Tamandua tetradactyla: one gene and its partners. The protein of the gene in region 1 purifies or fractionates together with the protein of each later gene. This does not show direct contact. Links are inferred from orthologs where the notes say so. Each region holds a gene or a part of one and is shown in the gene's direction. Other genes may lie near its edges.

Region 1 (7,806 bases):
TTTTTAAAAGCCATTATGTTTCTGGCATATTGCATTCCAGCAGCTAGCAAACTAGACCAAAGTCCTTTCTAGATCTCAAAAAAAATAACCTACATACTTTTTCAGTTCAAGAGATGTTTAGATGGATGGGATAGAAGTTTGTGTTCAGTCCGCCATATTGATCAAATCCTGCTATTTGGTTCTCTGTCAGTCGTCATGTATACTATATTTTCCTTGATTTTATCTTCTGCTATCCCATTTTAATGGGACCCATTTAAAAGATGTTAACAGTCCCATTTGAAAGATGATCCCATTTTTATTCTACTAAAGTAAATACTTAATTTTTTTTTTTTTACTTTTCAACGACAAGAGTGAAATTGTATCATTTAGGAGTCATTTATTCAATCTATGGAATTTATCAAGACCCTGTGGTGACTTGAACCTGTTATATACCCCAGAAAAAGGCCAGGTACTTTTAATCCATTTCTGTGGGTGATGAACTACTGTGGTGGAACCTTTTGGTTAGGTTATTTCAATTGAGATGTGACCCAGCCCATTCAAGGTGGGTCTTAATCCAGTACTGGAGTCCTTTGTGAGAGGATAAAAGACAACCGAGAGAGAGAGAGAGAGAGAAAAAAAGACAACCAAGAGCGATTACAGAGAAAAGCCCCACAGATGCTAAGGGAGGATACACAGAAACTCAGAGACAAAGCCACTGGAACCAGGAGCTGAAAGCAATTGAAATCTTGGAGTGAAGTACCAGCAGACACCAGCCATTGAACTTTCCATGTGACAGAGGAACCCCTGATGCCAGCAACAGGAACCGTGTTGATATCTTAATTGGGACATTTTCACGGCCTTAGAACTGTATATATATGTATTTTTTTTGAATGGGCAGGCACCAGAAATCAAACCCAGGTCTCCAGCATGGCAGGCGATAACTCTGCCTGCTGAGCCACCATGGCCCACCGAGAACTGTAAATTTGTAAACTAATAAATCCCCATTGTAAAAGCCAACCCATTTTTTGGTATATTACATTCCAGCAGCTTTGGCAAAATGAAAAAGATCCCCTTCATTATTTTTCTCTTTTAAATATTCCTTGACTTTAAGTCTTGCATGTGTATTCTTCCAAATTCAGAATTAACTTGCTGCAGTCTATAAAAACTCCTGGATTTTTATTGTGATGGCAAAGAATTTCCAGATTTATTTATGAAGAATTGGCATTTTAATTATGTTGACTCTTCCTTCTAAGAACAGGGAAATTTCTAATTCTTTTCTGGTTCTTTATTTAGGTTGTCCAGTCAAGTTTTATAGTTTTAAAAAATAGGTATTTGGTGTTTCTTATTAAGTTTATTTCCAGTTATTTTATCATTTTTGTAGCTATATTGAACTGAATTCCCCCCCCCCTTTTTTTCAATTACATTTTCCAGCTTTTTATTACTGATTGGGTCTCAACACCAGGGAACAGACTTGGGATTTTATAGGTCTTTCCCTTTATAGTGAAACTCCAAGGGTGAGTTTTAAAAGAGAACGATTGCATAGTAGATCTTGTTCTGTTTTTTCCTGTGTCTTCACTTAACACCTGTGCTGGTTTGAAAGGATGTATGTCCCCTAGAAAAGCCATGTTTTCATCTAAATCCCATTTCATAAAGGCAGAATAATCCCTATTCAATACTCTATGTTTGAAACTGTAATCAGATCATCTCCCTGGAGATGTGATTTAATCAAGAGTGGTTGTTAAGCTGGATTAGGTGATGAAATGTCTCCACCCATTTAGGTGGGTCTTGATAAGTTTCTGGAATCCTATAAAAGAGGAAACATTTTGGAGAATAAGAGATTCAGAGAGTGCAGAGAACGATATAGCCACAAGAAGTAGAGAGCCCACAGGCCAGTGACCTTTGGAGATGAAGAGGGAAAATGCCTCCCAGGGAGCTTCCTGAAACAGGAAGTCAGGAGAGAAAGCTAGCAGATGACGCCTTGCTCGCCATGTGCCCTTCCAGCCAAGAGAGAAGCCCTGACTGTGTTCACCATGTGCCTTCTCACTTGAGAGAGAAACCCTGAACTTCATTGGTCTTCTTGAACCAAGGTATCTTTCCCTGGATGGATACCTTTGATTGGACATTCCTATCGACTTGTTCTAATTGAGACATTTTCTCAGCCTTAGAACTGTAAACTAGCAACTTATTAAATTCCTCTTTTTAAAACCCATTCCATTTCTGGTATATTGCATTCCAGCAGCTAGCAAACTAGAACAACACCATTAAGCATGATGTTTGCTGTAAGTTCTTTATACACTCCTTTGATCAGATTAAGGAAGTTCCTGTCTACTCATAGTTCTCTAACCTTTTTATAATCATAAGTGGTTGTTGAGTATTATCAAGCACTTTTTCTGCATTTTTGAAATGACCAATTTGTTCCCCTTATATCATATAAAGTTAATGCTCTAATATCAAACCATCCTTGCATTCTTAGATAAAAGCTCAACTTGCTTATGATACAGCATTTATTTCATAAATTTCTGGCTTCAATTTAGTAATGTTTTGTTTAGCTCTTTTACATCTATTTGCCCATTCAGTGTCATTCCCTCCCCATCTCATTATAGTAACAATATTTAGTCTCATAAAATAAGTTTGGAGAGATTTCTTTCCTTTCTTATTCTCCAAAAAACTCCATATAATTGGAATTTCACACTCATTAAAGATTTGGAAGAATTCAAATGTAAAGCTGTCTGGGCCTGGGTTTTTTTGTGGGCGGATTTTTCAACACATTCAATTTCTGTAATGATTATCAGCGGTCTAATTGGGTTTTCTGTTTCTAGAGTCAGTTTTGGTAAGTTGTACTTTTCTAGGATTGTATTCAATTTGCTTATGCTTTCAAATTTGCTGCCATACAGTTGCTCATAATACCTGTTTAAAAATAAAAATCTCTGTTGTATCTGTGGTTACATGCTCTGTTCATTCCTTTCATTTACATGTCTCTTCTCTCATATCCATCTTGTGAGAGAGTTGGCTTGTTTTTCAGCTTCTCAAAGAACCAGCTTTTGATTTTCTCAGTATTATTTCTACTTCATTGGTTTCTGTTCCTCCTTATTTTCCTTCCCCCTATTTTCTCTACGGGTCCTTTTATAGCTTGTTGAGTTGGATGTTTAGGCTGTTGACTGCTTTTGCTGCATCTCTGAGCTTCAGAATCATACACCCAATCCCTGCTCAACATCTCACTTGTGCTTCTAATAGGCATCCCAAGCTTCACATGGCTGAAACAGAATTCTCGATTTGCACCTCCAAAAACATGCTTTTCTTGAAGTTTTCCACATCTTGGTGAAAGGCACCCCTATTCACTCAGCTGCACAAGACCCAAACTTGGGATTTGTTCTGTTTTTTCTCTTTCTCCGTACCCTTCTTCTGATCCTTTCCATTCACTTTTGAGAAGATATCTTAATCTGACATGCTGGCGCCTCTTCAGCCACATACGGCCTTCTTCTTAGTCCCCAACATGCCAGGAACAGTCTCTCCTTAGGCCTTGGAAATTGCCTGGAATGTCTCCCCCACCCCCAGATATCCATATGGGGGAATGAAATGAAGGAGAAAGCCTGTGGATACCAAATAGCATTCCCTTATTCCTGGCTTTATCTTTTTCAAAAGCCCTTACCACCATGTGACATTATATCATATACTTGTTTGTCTATTTAGTATGGCTCTTGCCCACAAGAAAGTTAGTTCACTGCCTTGGTCATTGCTATAACTGCAGAGCCTGGAACAGTGGCAGGCATGGAGTAGCTATTCAATAAATGAACAGAATGGGGGAAAGCCAAATCACAATAAGAAGATTCTCTGCTAGGCATAGCACCACTACAAGGAATGCTTAAGGACCGGGATGTTGAACCATCTCAGGGTAAGGTCGCCACAACAAACACTCCTGTCCTGAACATCTCCTCGGCTGCAACTTTTCTTCTACTCTTAAATATTTTCCAGAAACAGAATTGCTGGATCTTAGCTTCCCAATCGCTTTTTCTAGGAAGCCTGCCCTCCCCCTTCCAGGCGGAGTCAAGCGTTCCTTCCTCTGCTCTGCCACTGCCTCTGATCCACACCTCCAGCAAACCATCAGTTCCAAGCATCCAAGTCCCGTACAGCCTTGACAGATCTCCTCATCCCCCTCCCAACACAGTTCCGCGAAGGCAAGGGCTGGGATCTGCTCCTCGGTTCGTCCCCGCCCCTCAGCATGTCTGGCACGCGGCAGGCCCGGCTGAAAACATGCCACGGGTAGGCCTCTTAAACCAAAGGCCCTCGGCTGTAACAACGCTGGACTCGACTGCTTCTCCTGAAGGCAGCGCTACTGAGAAAATGAGGGTGAAGTGGCAGCATTATTTCGGCGTTTGTGTTCAGCAGGCCACCCGCCCCGCAGGGCCGCGCACAACAAGCCTTCGGAGTCCAGGCCTCGGCTCGCCCCAACTTCCGCAAGGGCCCATTAATTCTACACATCCAAATTCCGCCCACTAAACCAGCCCCTCAGGGTCCCGGCCGCCTCTTTTCCCAAAATGACGGCCGGCGGCAGCCAATCGGCGGTCGACCGAGGGTCCCGCCCCTTTTTCCCGGGGCGGTAACTGACAGAAACTCCCGCCAATTCGCCGCCACGCTGCCGGGGCCCCGCCTTCTCGCGGCCTTCGCAGCCAGTGGCGGGCGGGCTCGGGGCGACGCCGGGCGTGGTCGTGGGCGTGGCGCGGGCGCGCAGGTGCAGCAGTGCGCAGGCCGGCGGGAGGGCGGGGCGCGACGTCGCGCCGTGCGGGGTCTCGGCGTCGGCGGCGCGCGCACTCCCTCCTCTCGGAGAGAGGGCTGTGGTAAAAGCCGTCCGGAAAATGGCCGCCGCCGCCGCCGCCGCGCCGAGCGGAGGAGGAGGAGGAGGCGAGGAGGAGAGACTGTGAGTGGTACCGCCGAGGCCGCGGGCGGGGACCCTTCCTTGGGGGAGGGGGGCAGGGGCGGGACGTGGCGCGGGAGGGGCCCGCGGGATCGGGCGACTCGGCTGGCGGATGGCGTCCCTCCTCTCTACCCTCCCCCTCCCCCGCCTGCTGCCTCCATTGGTGGCTCCCCCCTCGGCCCGTCACTAGCGCTCGCGGGTGACCGTCCTCGTCGTTGTCTCGCGGGGCCGCCGCCTGGGCCTTCGGCCCCACTCCCGTCCGCCTTCGGCGTGCATCCCCGCCCCCGGCCCGGTGGGCACCCGAGGCGCCGGGGCTCCGCAGGTCGTGGCTGCGCGCGCGTCCTGCCCTTCTCGGGGCTTCGGGCCGCGGCGCCGACGCGTGCCCGCGCCCCCGGCCCCGGCCTCTCCCTGGCTCGCGCTCTCCCTCTCCCTCCCTCTCGCGCCCCCTCTCCCGTTACTTTGCCCCCCCCACCGTTGCGCGTGCGCAGTTCGCCCGCCGTCGGGAGAGTGCGCCACAAGGGCTCCTGCGCTCTCACTCCCCCCCATCCCTCCAGGTTTTGCCTCCCCCTCCTTCTCGCCCATTCCATGACTTTCTGCCCCCACTGGAAGCGAGTCAGTCCACAATCTCCTTTGCGCATCTCGCAGGAAGAAGTAGGTGGGAACGATTGCCCACCCACAAAAGGGAACAGACACTGTGTTCTTGGGTCCCACAACTCATCATAAAGAGGTAGTTTCAGTACCCTCCAGGAGCCGTGGGGAGGGGACTCGGCGTCCGGCAGCACCTTAGCAGCACATGAGGTTCCTCGGTGTGAGCGCGACCCCAGGGAGCTCAAAGGTCCTTTTGGGGTTCTCTGGTTTCGGAATATGAGCGCCCTCCCGTCCTCCCCCCCCCCCCACTCGCCAGTGATCTTCCAGTTACATAAGTGTAATGGGACATGGTCGGTAATGGGCTCCCGGAGCCCCGGAGCGCACCCCGCACAAGATCACCAGGGCCAGATGTGGCAAGTTCGTTGCACTGCTGTGGCTCCTATCAATTTTTCTGAAAGTTTATTCTTTTTAGTTCTGTTCTGACTGGATCGCCTCAACTGAAACTCGGGTGACTTATATGGCGGTGGCAGTGTTGCTGGGGTTTGGCACTGAAGACTTAAGGTCATTGGGAAGAGTCTAAAAAGATTGATCTCATGGAGGAGACTGTTTGTGACATCGATAAACTTTGTAGTATATGGCAAATTCCCCCCCCCCCCCCCCCCCGTGTCAGTGGCTTCTCTGTTGTGTTTTCGGGTGTGGGTTGGTCACGGCAGAAATGGGCTCCACTGTAAAATTGATATATTCCTGACTCATGGTACTTCAGGTCGTTTTCCCAGTAAGAGGAATGGGCTCTGCCGAGCCATTCACACATTGCATCTCTACTGTGCAGATCAGTGACCGGAATTGGTGAGATTACAGGATGTAATTAAGAGAATGGTTGGTGATCATGTAATCAAACCTATCGCGTGTGGCACTGGCTGGCTTTGACTTTGTGGGACTCTCACAAGTTTGAGGCATTCCGTAATACTATAAAAATGAAGCATATTCAGACCTCTCTGGTAAAATTGAACTCTTGATAGTCAATTATTACTCTAGAGCTAGATTTGGGCTCTGTAGCTGGGCTTGTGAGATTAAGCTGACCCTCTTGGGTCTTTTGGAATATGCTAGGTCCCTATAAAAAGTCTGGATATATTAGGTCTTTCGGGAATTTCCATCAGAGATTTCAAGAGAGAGGCTTATTTACGGACTTTACAGAACTTCTACTTCAAATTCCAGTCAGAAAGCCTAAGAAGCACTCTTATTTTTCTGACCTGAACGTTGTCAGTAGCTTGGACAGCATAGTCAGTCTAGTAAAAGGACGATTGGCTTTTGTATATTGATTAAAATGAGCTGCCGTCTATCACTCATTCACATCAGGTCAGACAGGTGGCCTGTCATTGGAATACTTGCATGTCCACAGACACACATGCCTCACTTGACGAAGATTTCAAGGTTTGTACATCTGAATCTAAGAAGTGACATGAGTAGGTCTCTGGTTTCTCTTTCATTGTTGGCAATATGGTGGTCTCTGGTGTCCCTCCAGTTAGCTGTCTTGTCATATCCCTAGTCCTTTAAACGGTCTAGGTGTTTTCCAGATTATCTGTTTCTCTGTAAAGTGCCTGGTGGCATCTAACATCAGTGTGTCCTAACAGCTGGAAGAAACCTTGTACGGCTTTCTTGCTGGTACTGGCCTATCACACTGTACTAACTCCTTTTTTTTTTCTTCCAATTTGCTTGGAGTGCTTTAACTCTAAAGTGCCAGGTCTTTTTTTTCCCACTTGATAGGAAAGCATCATGTAGTAAACCCTACTTTGACTTTTTTTTTGCTATTTGAAACCTGAAGTAGTTCTGGGGCAAAGCGCTCTATGTTTACAGTTTCCAGCCAGTCATTTCCAGTGGGCTGGTGTGGGGGGGCGGGGGCAAGCTGTGTAGTTTGAAGGAAAAAAAAAAAAGGGCTGGTTAGGTGGCTCCAGTATGTAATTACCTCCACCCAAATACTCCTTCCCCCACCTGGAGATGGACCGAGAACTTTGTTTCTGTAACCTTGAGTGGGGAAAAAAAAAAAAGCAGAGGTAAAGTTGTTAGTTTCTTACTTCAGTCCAATTTCCACCTCTCAAGTACCTTCTTGGGATGATTTTCATGATAAATGATGTGTCTTAAAGGCCCTCATCTTTTATGAGGATGAATATGAGTGAAAATCTTATGAGTGGATAAGCACGGTTTGTAGCCAGGCTACTTTTATGAGAAGAGACCATAAAATGCTTGGCATTCAAAGTAAGTAGTATTTGCAGTGCTCAGAGGATAGAAGCTGCGCCGTGGAGCCCACTTGCTGTGCTTTAGGCTCACAG
Region 2 (7,268 bases), on another chromosome or scaffold:
GAAATGGTATTAATGGTTCTGCATTTTACTACTTCCTTACTTTAGCAAATGAAACTTTTGAAACCTCCTAACCATAGTTAGATCTGCCATATCTTGCCAATTATGTTGCCCATCTGCCTTTTAAAGCTAAAAGCTTTTTTAAAAAGCTTTAAAAGCTATTACTAACTCCCTGAAGATCTTCTTTACCCCTTTGATAAATTCTGTATCTGGGAAGAACTGGAAGTACAAACATATGTGAACATGTAAACTGGGTAGCAAACTGTGTGTGTGTGTGTGTGTGTGTGTGTGTGTGTGTGTGTGTGTGAGAGAGAGAGAGAGAGAGAGAGAGAGAGAGAGAGAGAGAGAGAGAGAGAGACCATTTCAAATGAAGAATTTAGACCAGCAAACAGACTACCAAAGAATTGTAATTAAGGATAATTGTCTTGGCAAAGTGTATCACAACTACTTTTTAAACGTGTTAAATATATGGAAGGTTTTATCCTGAAACCCATGTCTGTTCTACTTCCTTAATTATTTTTTTTAATGGTTCATGCTTTAAAAATTTTTTTATTGTGAAAAATAACATATACACAAAAAAGCACACCACAACAATTAGTTGTAGAATAGATTTCAGTTTGGTATGGGTTACAATTCCACAATTTTAGGTTTTCACTTCTAGCTGCTCCAAGACACTAGAGCCTTAAAGAAACATCACTATAACAATTCAGCAATCATACTCATTTGTTAAACCCAACCTTCGCTGTACAATTCCACCATTTCCTTTGATCTTTCCCCCAATCTTTAGGGGTATTTGGGCTATGCCCATTCTAACTTTTTCATGTTGGAAGGGGCTGTCAATAACACGGGATGGAGGATGGAACTAGTTGATGCTCTGGAGAGGCTGGCTCCTCTGGGTTTCAGGACTTATCTGGCCTAGGAATCCATCTGGAGGTTGTAAGTTTCTGGAAAGTAATCATAATATATAGAACCTTTGTAGAATCTCAGAAAATGCCCTAGGTGTTCTTTAGGGTTGGCAGGAATGGTTTTGGTTGGTGGTTGGCAAACTATGATAGGTAGTAATGTCCAGCCAAAGTGTGCATAAGAGAGCCTCCAGAGTAGCCTCCCAACTCTATTTCAACTCTCTCAGCCACTGATATATTTGATACACTTCTTCTCCGCTTTTGGTCAGGATGGAATTGTCAATCCCATGGTGCTACAGTCAGGCTCAGCCCTGGGAGTCATATCCCACATTGCCAGGGAGACTTTCATCTCTGGGTGTCATGTCCCACATAGTGGGGAGGGTAATGATTTCACTTGCAGAATTGGGCGTAGAGGCCATCTGAGCAACAAAAGAGGTCCTCTGTAAGTAACTCTTAGGCATACCTATAGGTAGGCTAAGCTTCTCTGCTACATAAATAAGCTTCACAAGAGCAAGCCTCAAGATCAAGGGCTTGGCCTAATGACTTGAGAGTCTCTTAATGTTTGAGACAGTATCAGGAGTTTCCCCAGTGGTAAAGTTTAACAGTCATATTTTTTCTCTCATCCTTCAAGGGACTTGCCAATACTTTTTTGATTATCTGTTTAATATACTCTGAGATGTATGCGGGCATTATATTAAGCTATATAGGATTGTAGGCCCCCATTCCCATTCTGGGCTGCCTGTGTTTGGGGTGTTTAAATGATCTATCCAGACAGGTTGAGTTAGATTATGTGCTATAGAATATTTAGGTTCTAGACAAAATAAACCTTTCTTCCTTTGGTCTCATAAAGTAGGTGAAGTTTCTATAATATAGACAATGTCTTCCTTATCCTTGTATTCTGAATTACCTTATTCCTGACCTGACTGGCTTCAGTCTTAACTCTAATTGAAATCTGATCTCTTTTTTTCAATTTCTTTAACAGTTGTTGTATGTGGCAACGCTGACCTTCAGAACTGTAGAACCTCTACTCTGAGTCTTATGTGTCACCAAGGTGTCAAAAGTTCCCGTACTCCTTAACTTTAACCCTGGAATGAGCATAATACCACATTGAGAATTTCTAGCAAGGAATCCAGAGTAAATTAGAAAGCAATAACAACATAATCCACATTTTTGTCTTGATTTTCAACTGTAGGGCCTATACTTGAAGAAGTTTAGATTTAGGTCATTCATACTCTTGCATTTGACAAATAATCATGGAGTGCATACTATGTGCCAAGCACTACTATTAGGTGCTAGAAATACAGAAGTGACCAAAACAAATATGGTCCTTGACTTCAGGGAGCTTACTATCTAGAGAAGGAGACAAACCTTAAACAGACATTGAACAAGTAAAACAAAATAAAATTGCAAGTTGTGGTTATTTCCTGTATATATTGTATCCTTCTCAGTTAACTGTTGTAATCACACCATTTTTTTAGAAGTATCTGTGAGAAAGATCCTTGAGCTGTTTACTCATCAGATAAAATCAGTTGTAGCTTGAGAGACATGAAGCCTTGTATAATGGCAGATAATTCTATAACCTTCATCATGAACATTATTATGGAATTTATTCCAAGAAGCAAAATATTCATTTATATGTGCATGTTGGCAGTATAATGTCTAATCACAGGATGGGAATTCGTCAGTAATGTCTTCTTGAGATCTGCTCATGACGATTTGTTGGAAAACACACATATACTTCAGCTTTTCAACTGAATTTTCTTATCCTAAACTTATTTTGAAAAATACCAGTGCTCCAGCATGCAAATATTATGCTACATCAATTAAATGACTCTTTGAAGAACAAAGATTTATAATGAACTTCATAATCTGCATTTTTAAATTTGTATTAAATTTACATTCAGGTTAACATTACTTCCAGGCACATTTTGTTTGCCACCGCTCAGCTGAAAGTATACAAAGTATACAAAGGACTTAAAAGTTTTTACCTTTTGCTCCATACTCTAACACCTTCTTACGGCTCCTAAAGTCCAGCTCTCTTCATTCCACAGCTAAAGGGCGCTCAGTCGTTTATATGGGTAGTACCTCTGACTTCTTCCTCTTTACTTTTTCCCTTGTTTGACTTTTAAGTGTTTTCTCATTGAACAGTCGCATTTTATTTTATTTTATTTTCAACTCTGCATGTTGTTCTACTTAAAAAATATCCCACTAAGGAAATCGGAGGGAAGGAGACTAGGAGCCAAAGTTCTTTCAGGAGAATGTGTACAAGACTCCTGCCTTTACCTCGCCAAATTTAAACACATCCAACCCCTCCTTGCGAGGTTCAGTCGACCACTCACAACCCTGTACATTTGAGGAGCTATTCGTTGGTATTTACATATATTTAAAACTGTTTCCTTCTCTCTTTTTCAGAATTATTTGAATATGTTCTTTTGTGATTTGTGTAATTTGTTTCTGATAATGATGTTCCTAGTAAAGATACGTATCCTTGGAATTCATGTCCTTTCACAAGTGAGTTACACCATTACGTTACTAAGTCAGGTGTCACGGTCCTCGCTCTCCAGAAATCAGTGTTTCGTGGCCAAGCAGCTTCTTCAACTTTCTAAGACCAATCACTAGGAGGTGGTATCATCACAGGGTTACCACCTTCTCCCAAGTTTTACCTGTTACGAGTACCAAATCGGAGGGATTTTATCAGATTTGTCTAACGCGCCCCTTTCCTTCTCCACCCACCCGTTTTGGGCCCTGATGCACAGCACCCCTGCCCATCCCGGCCCCGAGGCTGGACCTTTATGGCAGCCGGGATCCCCTGCCAAGAAATGGAACTAGGGGCTCCCCAACCCTAAATATAGGCGAGGCAAAGTCAGAGGAGTGCCTTAGGAGTGCCCTGGCAGAAATGACCCACCGGCGGAGAAGAGAACGTACTTTAACTCAGCTTTGGCCCTGGACCCCCGTCGTCTGGGACTACCCCGGCAAAAAGAGAAAACAACTGTCGGCGATTCTCCTTTCCGTTCCCGGCCTCCCCTCAGCTCTCCTACTTCTCTTCCGCTCCCTCCCCTTCGCCCGGGAGGCACGTGGTGCGGCTCTGCCCAGCCCTGCCGGAGCCGTTCCCCTCCTCCCTCCGCCCTTCCCCGCCCTCGCGGCCTCCGGCCCTTTCCTCCCAGCGCCTCTCGCTTCCTCTTTCCGTTCGCTTTTTCCACCCCCGCTCTCCATCGCCCTTCCTTATTGGTTGAGCTCGCCGGAGCCTGATTGGCCAATCAGTGAGCTGGGCTGGCGGTGATGGGCGTGGCCGCGGCGCCGGGGCTCTCAGATCGAGGCCGCCTCCCCCTCTCTGCCGGCAGCGCATTCCGCCGCCGTTGCCGCCGCCCGGCCCCGCAGTTGTCTTTGCCCGAGCTGCAGTCGCGCTGGGGTTAGGGCAGGGGGGGCGGGCGGGGAGAGGAGAAGGCCGCGGCTGAGGCAGGTGAGAGGAGGAACGAAGAGGCGGCGCGGCGGGCACAGCAGCTCAGGCGGCGGCCCGGTTCCTGGGAGTGTCGGTGCGGCGCGGAGGTTGGGGCGGATCCCGCGGGGCCCGGGCGGGGGAAGGAGTCACCGGCCCGGCCATGGCGGACAACGAGAAACTGGACAACCAACGGCTCAAGAATTTCAAGAACAAAGGCCGCGACTTAGAGGTAAACTCGGGGATACCGGAGGGGTGGGGACCTTGGGCCTCGGGCTGCTCTCCACCCGGACTCTGAGTGTGGGGAGTAGGGGCGGGAGCCGCCGCCGGGCCGCGGGGGAATGGCGCTGGGGGCTGGCCCGTCCGTGACGCCTTTGCTAATGCGCCGGGAAGTTTGTGTCGGGCCTGGTCCGCCTCCGCCGGGGAGCGAGGTGCCTGGGAACGGCCGGCGCGGCCTAGGCCTGCCGGCTGAGCCAGCCCGTCGCGGGTCCGAGGGGCTGGGCCGCGCGGCGGGAGGCCGGGCGCGGCTGTGCCCCGGCCGGACCGCGGCCCCCTCCCCGGCAGTGGCGGAGATTCCGTTTCTCGCTCGGGCCCCGACGTCTGGCGCCGGGGCAAGGAGGGTGGTGGGGGATGAGGGCTAGTGTGTGGCGACCTAGTGGGGCTCGGAACTTCCTCGGCGAGGAGGCCCGAGGCGTCTTCACTTAAAGGCATTTTTTCTGGTCTTCCCGACTCCCGCTTTACCCCTGCCTCCCCCTAATATCCAAACTACAGGAGTCAACTTCTCCGTTGAAAAAACACCCCCGGCGTGAGAGGCCATCCTGGTGATGCTAACAGTGCCTTCCAGCGGCCTGTGTTTTACTCTGCATATAGCTGAATCAAGATGTGGCTCACGGTGTGCCCTCTTCCAGGCAAAGGATTTCCCTTATTTCAGCTTGTCCACAAATCTTTTATCCCCTCCTGAGAGGAGACCACCAGCTGCATTCTTACATATAAAGCCCAAGGGTTATACAAAGCTGTCATCCTCTAGTCTACAGTATCCTTTCCCTCCACCTGCTGGTGGTGGTAGTGGGGGATGGGTGGGCTATGGAATGGCACCATCAAGTTTTATTTGAAACAAACAAAAAAGGCTTCATTGTCTTAGATACAGCTGCTGCAGAGGTTCTCAGTCTACGTAGTGTGTGGGTTAAACACACAAATCACTGAGATTTTTAATAGAAAACATCCCTTCAGCTTTAACACTCTAGGTGAATAGATTTTTTTTTTAATACTACCATTCTGCGTCTGAATCGAGTTTATTTTTTTAAGAAGAGGGGTCAAGTGATATGTTTTGTATTGTCTTTGGCATATTTTATACTGAGCTCTTAAAATTCTCATCACCTGTCTCTGAACCTTGAGCGTTTGCTTGGCTAAGATAGTAACTATACTGGGGGCTTTCCACATAGCCATTCAATCTTACTATAAGGGAGTTGGTGCTGTTTTAGTGGGTTTCATAGGGGATATTAGGTGTTTGGGGAGGTGGCTGTTAATTCTGTGGTTGTTTTAAGGTTAACATGAGTCACTTTTCTTATAATTCCCTTTTTTATAAAAAAAGAAAAGATTAACTTTGAGATATAACTTACCATAAAAGCCACCCATTTTAAGTGCACGATTTATGATTTTTAGTAAACTTATCTAGTTGTGCAACAAGGTGATGAAAAACTTTTTTACTAACATGAATATTTACTTAGAATGAGAAAACGCCCCAAATTACTAATTTAAAAAGCCGACAACTACAAAGTTACAAAGTCCAGAAAAATAATAATTAAATGCTTGATAAGGTCCTATAATCCTTTTTTCTCCTACATTTTTGTTTAATTTAAAAAGATAGCTTCATTGAGATATAATTCACATATCCAAAAATTCACCCGTGAAGTATATAATTCAGTGGTTTTTAGTATAGTTTTAAGTTGTGCAGCCATTACCACACTCAATTTTAGAACATTGTCATCACTCTCAAAGAATCTGTACCGATTTTCAGTAATTCTCCAATTTTCCCCGCCTACCCCAGTCCTGTTTTCCCTATTCTGGACATTTAATATCAATGGCGCTATAGAATAGTGATCTTTTATAACTAGCTTCTTTCACATAGAATAATATTTCCAAGATTCATTCATGTTATAGCATATATCAGTACTTTATGTCTTTTTTGGCGGAGTAATATTCCATTGTACAGATATACAACATTTTGCTATCCATTTAGGAGTTTATAGACATCTGGGCTGTTTCTACCTTTTAGCTGTTATGCAGAATGCTGCTATGAACATTTGTGTACAGATGCTTATGTGAACAAAGTTTTTCATTTCTCTTGGTTTTATACGTAGAAGTGGAATTACTTGGTCATATGGTAGCTATGTTTAACCTTTTAAACATATTTTCTACATATGTTTTCTATTTAGATTGTTTTCTAAAGTGGCTACACCATGATCCTCCCCCCATGTCATTTTATGAGATATATTCATGTGTCATACAGTCCATCCAAAGTATACAGTTTTTTCCAAATGTCATTTTATTGAGATATATTCATACACCATACAGTCTGTCCAAAGAATAAAATCAATGGTTCACATTTGGTTGCTTTTCCATTTGGGGTATTTCTTTAAATGGTTTTGTGGAAAATGAAATAACCTCAGTATTTACTCCTTTTGAAAACAGTGCCTCCCTGAGGCAAAGAGCATTTGAGGTTTTATGTGGAATTTTCTTTATAGTAATCTAAGTTTATTTTGGAGTTTCTGGCTGCACTCAGTGTCATGTTACATATTTAACTTTCTAAATGTGAGAATAAAAAGATAGTATTTCCTTCCTTTGAAAGAATAAAGACTTCGTATTAGTTAAAAAAAAAAAAGAAGTGGTTCACAGTATTATCATATGGTTGTGCATTCATCACCATGATAATT
Region 3 (6,989 bases), on another chromosome or scaffold:
TGGCATAATGCAATGCCCTGAGAAAGTGAGTGAGAGACTAGGGCAGCAATATAATGTGTATGCGCCCAGTTTTCCATTCTCACTGAATCACAAACCCAAGATAAGCCCTGCATTTCCATCACCCAAGTGGCATAAATACTTCCAAGATGGTTGCGTGTTTCTTTTGTAATTTAGATTAAGATAAGTAGAGTTCACTGTTGTAATGAAATCAGGTCACAGAGGCATGGAAAACTATGACAAAGGTCACACTGATGAGGGAAGGTCATAAGCAGCATGCTAAGCACAGATGGAGGAAGGGAGCTTGTGTGCTGAGATGGCGAGATGTGTGGCTGAGATGCACATCCGTTCAGATGGCAGAAACTGGTAGCTGAAGAGCCACGGACAAAGAATTGCACACGTTGAGTAAAAATGAAACACAAATATCACAGGGCATCTGCAGGATGCCTGGGGGTGAACGCTACGGACACAAAGCCACTGAGTTTGGGGTGAGTGCAGAATATAAACACAGTTATAGCATCAGGATAATATTTGGGGTATCAGATATCCTTTTCATGCTATTAAGCTTGTTTTGAACACTTTAATTACATAGGACTGGCTAATGTAAACAATTTAAAAGATCATGGTGGCCTTGAAATACATATACATAGTAATGAGTTCCTGTAGGCTGGGATGAAGCTACTTTAAAACATTCTATTTCCTGAGCCATGAAAGTTGCCCAGGTGTAGGCTATCTTGTGGTACCGCATCCCCCCGGGTGTAATAGTAGTGATGTAAAACAAGTCAGGGTGTGTTTAGTCATTTTACAACACATACGTAACTTCTGGTAACAGTTACCAGTATGAGGTATCTGTTGGGTAATTAGCTAGAAGGTTCAAGAGAACTTTCTTAATAATGTGTCCCTTTGCTTTAGAATTTCTTAGTAACAGAGTAATTTCTCTTTTCTAGAAACATATTAACATTTATAGTCAAAGCATAAGGACAGTTTTTAGATTAGGACAAAACCCTGAAAATTATTAACAATATTTGCTTCTCTTTGTCCTTACCTCACCCCATGTGTCGAATTTTTGCTTGATCTACCAGATGCACTGGAATGGACAGAGATAAACTACACATATGACCTCGTACGGCAGCTTATTTATTTCATGTTTAAGGCATTTTGTCATCCTAGATAGGGTCTTAAAGTATAGGAATCAATAGACCAGAACGTGGTTAAAAACCCCTTTCGTAGGGGAATCGAGGTTTTTCTACATTTAGGTGCATCGTTTGCTCAAAGGTTCTCTTTCCAGTTCTCTCTGCAGTGAACAGCATAAGTTCCCACCTTTGGTGATTTTTATTGTGGTGTGCAAATGTAGTAATTTATGCGCATAAATATCTTGTAAACTATGATGCAGTAAGCAAATGTATGGGTTATTCTTATCCTTGAGATGAGGCTCAGTTAATACCAAACAACTTGTTAGGGGAGGAGGCGGCCATAGGGTGCAAAACCTTGGCGCCTGAAGCCCTGGACCATATGTCCCTTAAGGAAGGGAGTGGGGTAAGGAATAGGGACATTATGCGGGAGGATAAGGCTGGGGCCCCCAATTTGGAGAGTATCCTTTTAAGGTTGGGAAGTCCTCATTCACTGGAAGGGTGGCTTCAGTTTCTAGCAGCAGCTTTCTGGAGAAGACCCCTGAGTGGCACAACGTCAAACCTGAAAAACAATCTAGGCCAATGGATTCGTTTCATTGGGTGGCTGAGATAATGAACCCTAATCGTATTGAGTCACTTTACTTACAGAACAGAAATGCTAGTGACATACACGTCATTAATCAACTCTTAAAAAGATATATATATATATTTAAATAGAAAGATACTTCACTCTCATCGCTTCCAAAAGAGTTCTGTGATAGATGGGCCTCACCTTTAGAGTCCTCCTGAAATGTGAAACTTGCTTTTTTTGTGCTGTTTGCCTGTACCCTGCACACAGTGTTTTGGAAACCTGCAGTTATCTAAATTCCCATCGGGTGACATTGTTTAATCTAACATTCCCTCTTTCATATACGAAAATAGCTCTAAGGACACACCACTGATAGGCTTTGAACTCTCTCCTGGTTGGGAGGGAGTTTCCAAACCCGCTGCCTTTCTCTTCGGTTTTTCCTGCCCACCCCCGCCCTATGCCGGCCAGGAAAGGCCTTGGGCCGCTCCCCATTAGGCAGGGGCTCACGGGGGAAACTGGGCCAAAGAAAAAAAGCACCTGCTCTAAACATCCCGCTTATCAGGCCACCCGGGACTCAGTCCTGTAGAAACCACTTCAAGTGATGATTTTTCCCTCTTTGACGTGAAAACTTAGGTCTCTCATAGGACAGGAGAAGACTATTGCCGTAAAATAACCACTACACCTATTCGCAAATATTGTGATGAAAGTATAAAAACAGAACGCTCACCTAAGAAGGCGGCCAAAAGTATTATTTTGCTTTGAAGACAGTAATCACTGAAAATAACAAGAAAAAGACTGCTTTCAAGTCATACTTTAAAATCAAAGGGAAGCTGCTTTTAATGTTCCAGGCTTATACAAAGGTCAAAACCCCATTCCTGCTTTCTGAGAGCATTAGAAAGATTAATGCCACATTTGTTTTAAAAACTGTGAGGCGCCTCCCTTCTGCAATCACACTGTCACATTATCACTCACCTAAGTTAGACTTAATAAGCTGCCCTGATGTGCTACACCCCGCACAAAGTGCACACAGCGCATAAACATGTGCCGTCGAGGATGCCGCACAGGAACATATTTAGCCAACACTCAGTTACATTATTTTATCTTTGAAAAATGAGAACTGACCGGCCAACCCTTTCAATCAGACCCACCCCACGGTAAATCCCACGGTATGTTTGATTCTCCAGTACATCTGGGCATAAACACTTCAACGACAGCTTTGTGTTTGGTATCAAAAAAAACCTTGTGTGTGTGTGTGTATATGTGTGTGTGTGTATGTGTGTGTGTGTGTATGTGTGTGTTTTCTCTACAGATCCCACGCTCTGGATTACGTTTGTTAAAAATATCGCTCATCACAGGTATAACACCTTTGCAGGTACGCTTCCGAGAACCCTGCGGACGGACGCACACAAAGGTGTGCCCAGAGCCTTCCCCCAACCAACGTCCCCCGGATGCGTGCGCCGCGCGCCCCGCACGTGCCCACGAGTGCGCACCGGCACCCAGGGGCGCCCCGCCCCCACCGGGGCCTCGGGCCGCGCGACCAACACCCAAAGCCGCCCAACGCCCGGGCGGTGGGGGACGGTGGGGGCGGGGCGCCCGGTGCCCCCGCGGCGCCGCGGGGCTGCATTCCTCCGAGACGGCGCCGCAGCCGCCCAGCCCCCAGCCCCGCCGCAGCGGGCGGGGAGGGGAAGAGGAGCTCGGCCGCCGGCGCCCCCCCCCGCCCCCCCGCCGCGCTGCCGCCGGCGCCCCTCCCCCTCCCCGCCCCCGCCCGCCCCGCGCAGGCCGCCCGGGTTTGTTTTGCTGCGCGGCCGCCGCCGCCGCCGCCGCCGCCGCCGCGGGCCTCGCGAGCTCATTTGCGCCTGGCTGGTCCCCGCTCCCTCTCCCCGGTGTGGAGTGGCGGAGCCGTTGGCTGCTCCGAACCGTTTGGCTCTTTCCCTTAGTAACAGCTTTTCCCTTCTGCCTCAATTCCTCGGCCCGCTCGCGCCCTGCCCCCGCGCGCCGCCCCCCCCCCCCCGCCGCCGGCCGTGCGCGCCCCCGCCCCCCCCCCGCGGCGGGAGCACCTCCGCTCGCCACCTGGGGACCCGCGCCGCCTCCCCGCCCCCGCCCGCCCGCCCGCGCCCAGCCCCCGCGCCCCGCGCTCGCCGGGGTTATAATTGCCTCTCACCCCCCGGAGGGGTTATTTTGGGGGTGGTTGGAGGCGGCGGCGGCGGCGGCGGCTGGGAGGGGAGTTTCCTTGCGCCTCCATTCCCGGGAGGGGGGAGCGCCGTCGGCGGCCGCCCTGGTCCAGGTAAGATGTGGGGGCCCCGACCCTGGGGTGGGGGCGGGCCGGGCCGGGGGGGGGGCGCGGGCGGAGGCGGCGGGGGGTGGGGGAGTCGCGCCAGGCCGTGCGGCTGCGGGGGGGATGGGCGCGAGTGGACGCTGGGTTCTTTAACTTGGCCCTTCGGGGAGCCGGCGTGCGGGTGGGGGAGGGGAGGAGAGGGAGGGCGTTTAGGGCGCCCCCACCCCCGCCTTTTCTCCTCTGGCTGGCTTCTTTGCGGTGCTCACGTGCCTGCCCAGCCCCTACCCTCCCCTGTTCTCGGGGGGATCCTCACCCTTTGGTTGTTGTCCCCGAAAATGTGCGCCTTGGCCTCACCCCCCGCCTTCCCCCCTCCGTGCATTTACACCCCCTTTTTTCTATGTGTGTGTGATGGTGGGGGGGAGAGGCTTTCAGGGAAAGAATTTGCTGCAAATTGAATCAAGGAGCCATCATGAGGCCGACTCCTTTATAAGCCTATTTTTAGCGGAGGAGAAAGCTCTTTTCCGTGCATGTTATTGGGTTAAACCTCCAGCAGTGATGGGAGCCGGCCCCCTTCTCGGGCGCGGCCCCGGCCCTCGTGTTGGGGGGCTGCGGGCGGCCGGGGGGGGGGGCGCGTCCGGGGCGGGGGCACCGGCCGGGGGAGGGGCGCGCCGGCCGCCTGGCCGCGCTGGGGGACGGGCTTCTCGGGAACTTAGTGCTTTGTATCGTCTGAAGGAGGTATGTGCTAGACCCTCTTTGAAGTTGGGTTCAGAAGTGTAGAATTGGCAAAGTTATTGCCAGCTTCCTGGTAAGTTTTGGGTGGCACAGAGTCCCATCATTTTCTGACGGTGGAAAGGCCACGTTGGGAGGGTGGTTTCGCGGTAACTTCCCCTTTTGCAAAAGATACCGTTTTTTTTTTTTTCCTGAACAGAAGCAGACTTTTGTGCAAGTGAAGTATTGATCTTAAATGGCAGCTCGAGGGAGGCCATGCATGTATTAACATGTTCAGTATTTTTGGAAGTTCCTAATTTGCTGAAACAGGCATCACTTTGCGGTGGCGACCGAGATTAAATTTGTTGTGAAAATGGTGTGCTACATGTAAAATAGGGGTGGTAATGGCTTTTTAGAAAATGCTCCCTTTGTTAGGATATCTGCTCACATTCACTTAAAAATAATTTGGCGATTTCAAAGGAGAAGTGTTGCAGCCTAGTTGAAAATTAGATCTTCCGAGTGTCTTGAGGTGGCTTTTAAAACCTAGGACTGTGCAGCATCAAAAGTGAGGTGTTAGAACCTATGTGATTTACAGTTGACTTAGGGAAGTTTTCTGTTGGCTTTCCTGCTTTCCAAACAAGAATCTTGTGCTGGTCTAAACAAGCTTGCTAATAAAATATGGTGGGTGAAATGGTGAGTTATTTTTAGTCTGAATGGTTTATCTCCCCCCTCCCCCCAGGTATATAATTAAGTAGTCTTCCTCCCCCTTTTTTACTAAAGACTCCTGCACTAGATTGGGTAATAGAAGGCCCTGGTGGTGCTTTTATCTACTTACCTAAAACAACTTATAATATCTTGGTTACACATCGACGATACAGAGAGTGAGTTTTTGGGTTTCCCAGTGGCATTCATTTTCATTTTGGTTAAGTAAGACTCATGCTACATTGGTGTATTTTAGTAATTCTGATTTTTGGTGCTGCATGTTCTCGCCATGTTAAAAAGTATATAGTCTAGGGAAATAGGGCAGCTTTGTCTTAAGGAAAACGGCATTTATGTTGGGTTGTATCATGGGATTTTATGGCAATTCTCCCAAATGATCACTGAGAGTTCTAGAAAAGTTAGCATTTACCGGTGGGGGAGGGGTGGCAGAAAGAAAACATGCCTGAGAGTGGTTAGGCATGGGATGCATGTTTGTACATTTTGCTCTTAAGTACAGCTTTTCCTGCTTGTTTGGAATATGATTTTTTCCCCCCACTTCTACTATCCTACATTGCGTGGTGTATGTAACAGCACCATTAAATCTATCGTTTATTTTTAGACATAGGAGTAGATAGAATCAGATTTACAGTGCAAATTACTAAACTTGAATGGGGGCTGAAAACACGTGCCAGGGAAAAAGTTTTACTTACTCTTAAGGAACTTAAGTGATTCCTTAATGGCTTAAAATTTGTTGCAAAACTCACCAATAGTTTATAAATTGTAACATAAAATAACTGTGGTTATTCATGGAAGACACTAGTGGTAAAATAACTAGCTCCTTGTAGAGGTTGTATTTATACATTTGTTGCTCCAAAAAGTGTTAAACATTTTTAATAACTTTTTACGTAATGTCCAGGAATCTTTTTAATATTTGCATCTGCGCCATCTAATTAAGGTTTTTTTCATGATTACCATGAAACATGCCTACTAGGAGAACAAGAAATGACAGCTTCCTGTGTGCTGGGAGCCTTTCATGCTAATATGCAAAAAAGGCAGTAGCTTAAGATAAACATAGGAGTTACTGATAAAAAGAGATGTGATTGATGGACTATTGAATGACAACCTGTTGAATCAACATATCTGCTCATATATAGTGATGAAATATAAGTACAGCCTAGTCAGATGAGTAGCTGACAAAGGAATCCCCTTCTGTAATTACAAGAGTATTACTACAGAGAATTTCTGACTCAACATATTTTGATCAAGTTGGTGGAGATAATTTTTTGGTTTTGTCCATTTTTACTGTTATATCTATGAAAATAATAGCAGGATGTGAGTGGTAACCAGGGGGAAGGGATGGCAGGAACTTTGACACTGTTTGGGACTTTGTATTTTAGTACATGCAAATTTGACTCATCTTGTAAATAATGTATACAATGTAAGTCACAGGAATGCAAAAAAAGGAAAGCAGTTACAGGAGCCATGTATACTTTGTACCTAAACATCCTCATCTGCAGAAGGGCTTGCACCTCAGGGCCATATAGTAAGGAATTGGTGATTAGTATGGTCCAGTTCAGAGACTGCTTCCACCAACCGAAACTTGAAGATTAAA

Evidence for each region.
Region 2: the proteins of MECP2 (region 1) and KPNA4 purify together in Homo sapiens (affinity purification with mass spectrometry; 3 studies listed by BioGRID and IntAct, counting the BioPlex papers as one, with this or other methods). This does not show direct contact. The link is inferred for Tamandua tetradactyla from reciprocal best matches to the Homo sapiens genes MECP2 and KPNA4.
Region 3: the proteins of MECP2 (region 1) and TBL1XR1 purify together in Homo sapiens (co-immunoprecipitation; 3 studies listed by BioGRID and IntAct, with this or other methods). This does not show direct contact. The link is inferred for Tamandua tetradactyla from reciprocal best matches to the Homo sapiens genes MECP2 and TBL1XR1.

The regions. Positions count from the first base shown.
Region 1 is NC_135353.1:6,403,768-6,411,573, reverse strand, and holds the start of MECP2 (methyl-CpG-binding protein 2), read left to right. Parts: upstream 1-4,781; 5' UTR 4,782-4,894; intron 4,895-7,806. UniProt on the Homo sapiens protein: Chromosomal protein that binds to methylated DNA. It can bind specifically to a single methyl-CpG pair. It is not influenced by sequences flanking the methyl-CpGs.
Region 2 is NC_135331.1:57,305,392-57,312,659, reverse strand, and holds the start of KPNA4 (importin subunit alpha-3), read left to right. Parts: upstream 1-4,219; 5' UTR 4,220-4,498; coding exon 4,499-4,567; intron 4,568-7,268. UniProt on the Homo sapiens protein: Functions in nuclear protein import as an adapter protein for nuclear receptor KPNB1. Binds specifically and directly to substrates containing either a simple or bipartite NLS motif.
Region 3 is NC_135331.1:75,025,039-75,032,027, reverse strand, and holds the start of TBL1XR1 (F-box-like/WD repeat-containing protein TBL1XR1), read left to right. Parts: upstream 1-3,940; 5' UTR 3,941-3,979; intron 3,980-4,651; exon of another isoform or gene 4,652-4,775; intron 4,776-6,989. UniProt on the Homo sapiens protein: F-box-like protein involved in the recruitment of the ubiquitin/19S proteasome complex to nuclear receptor-regulated transcription units. Plays an essential role in transcription activation mediated by nuclear receptors.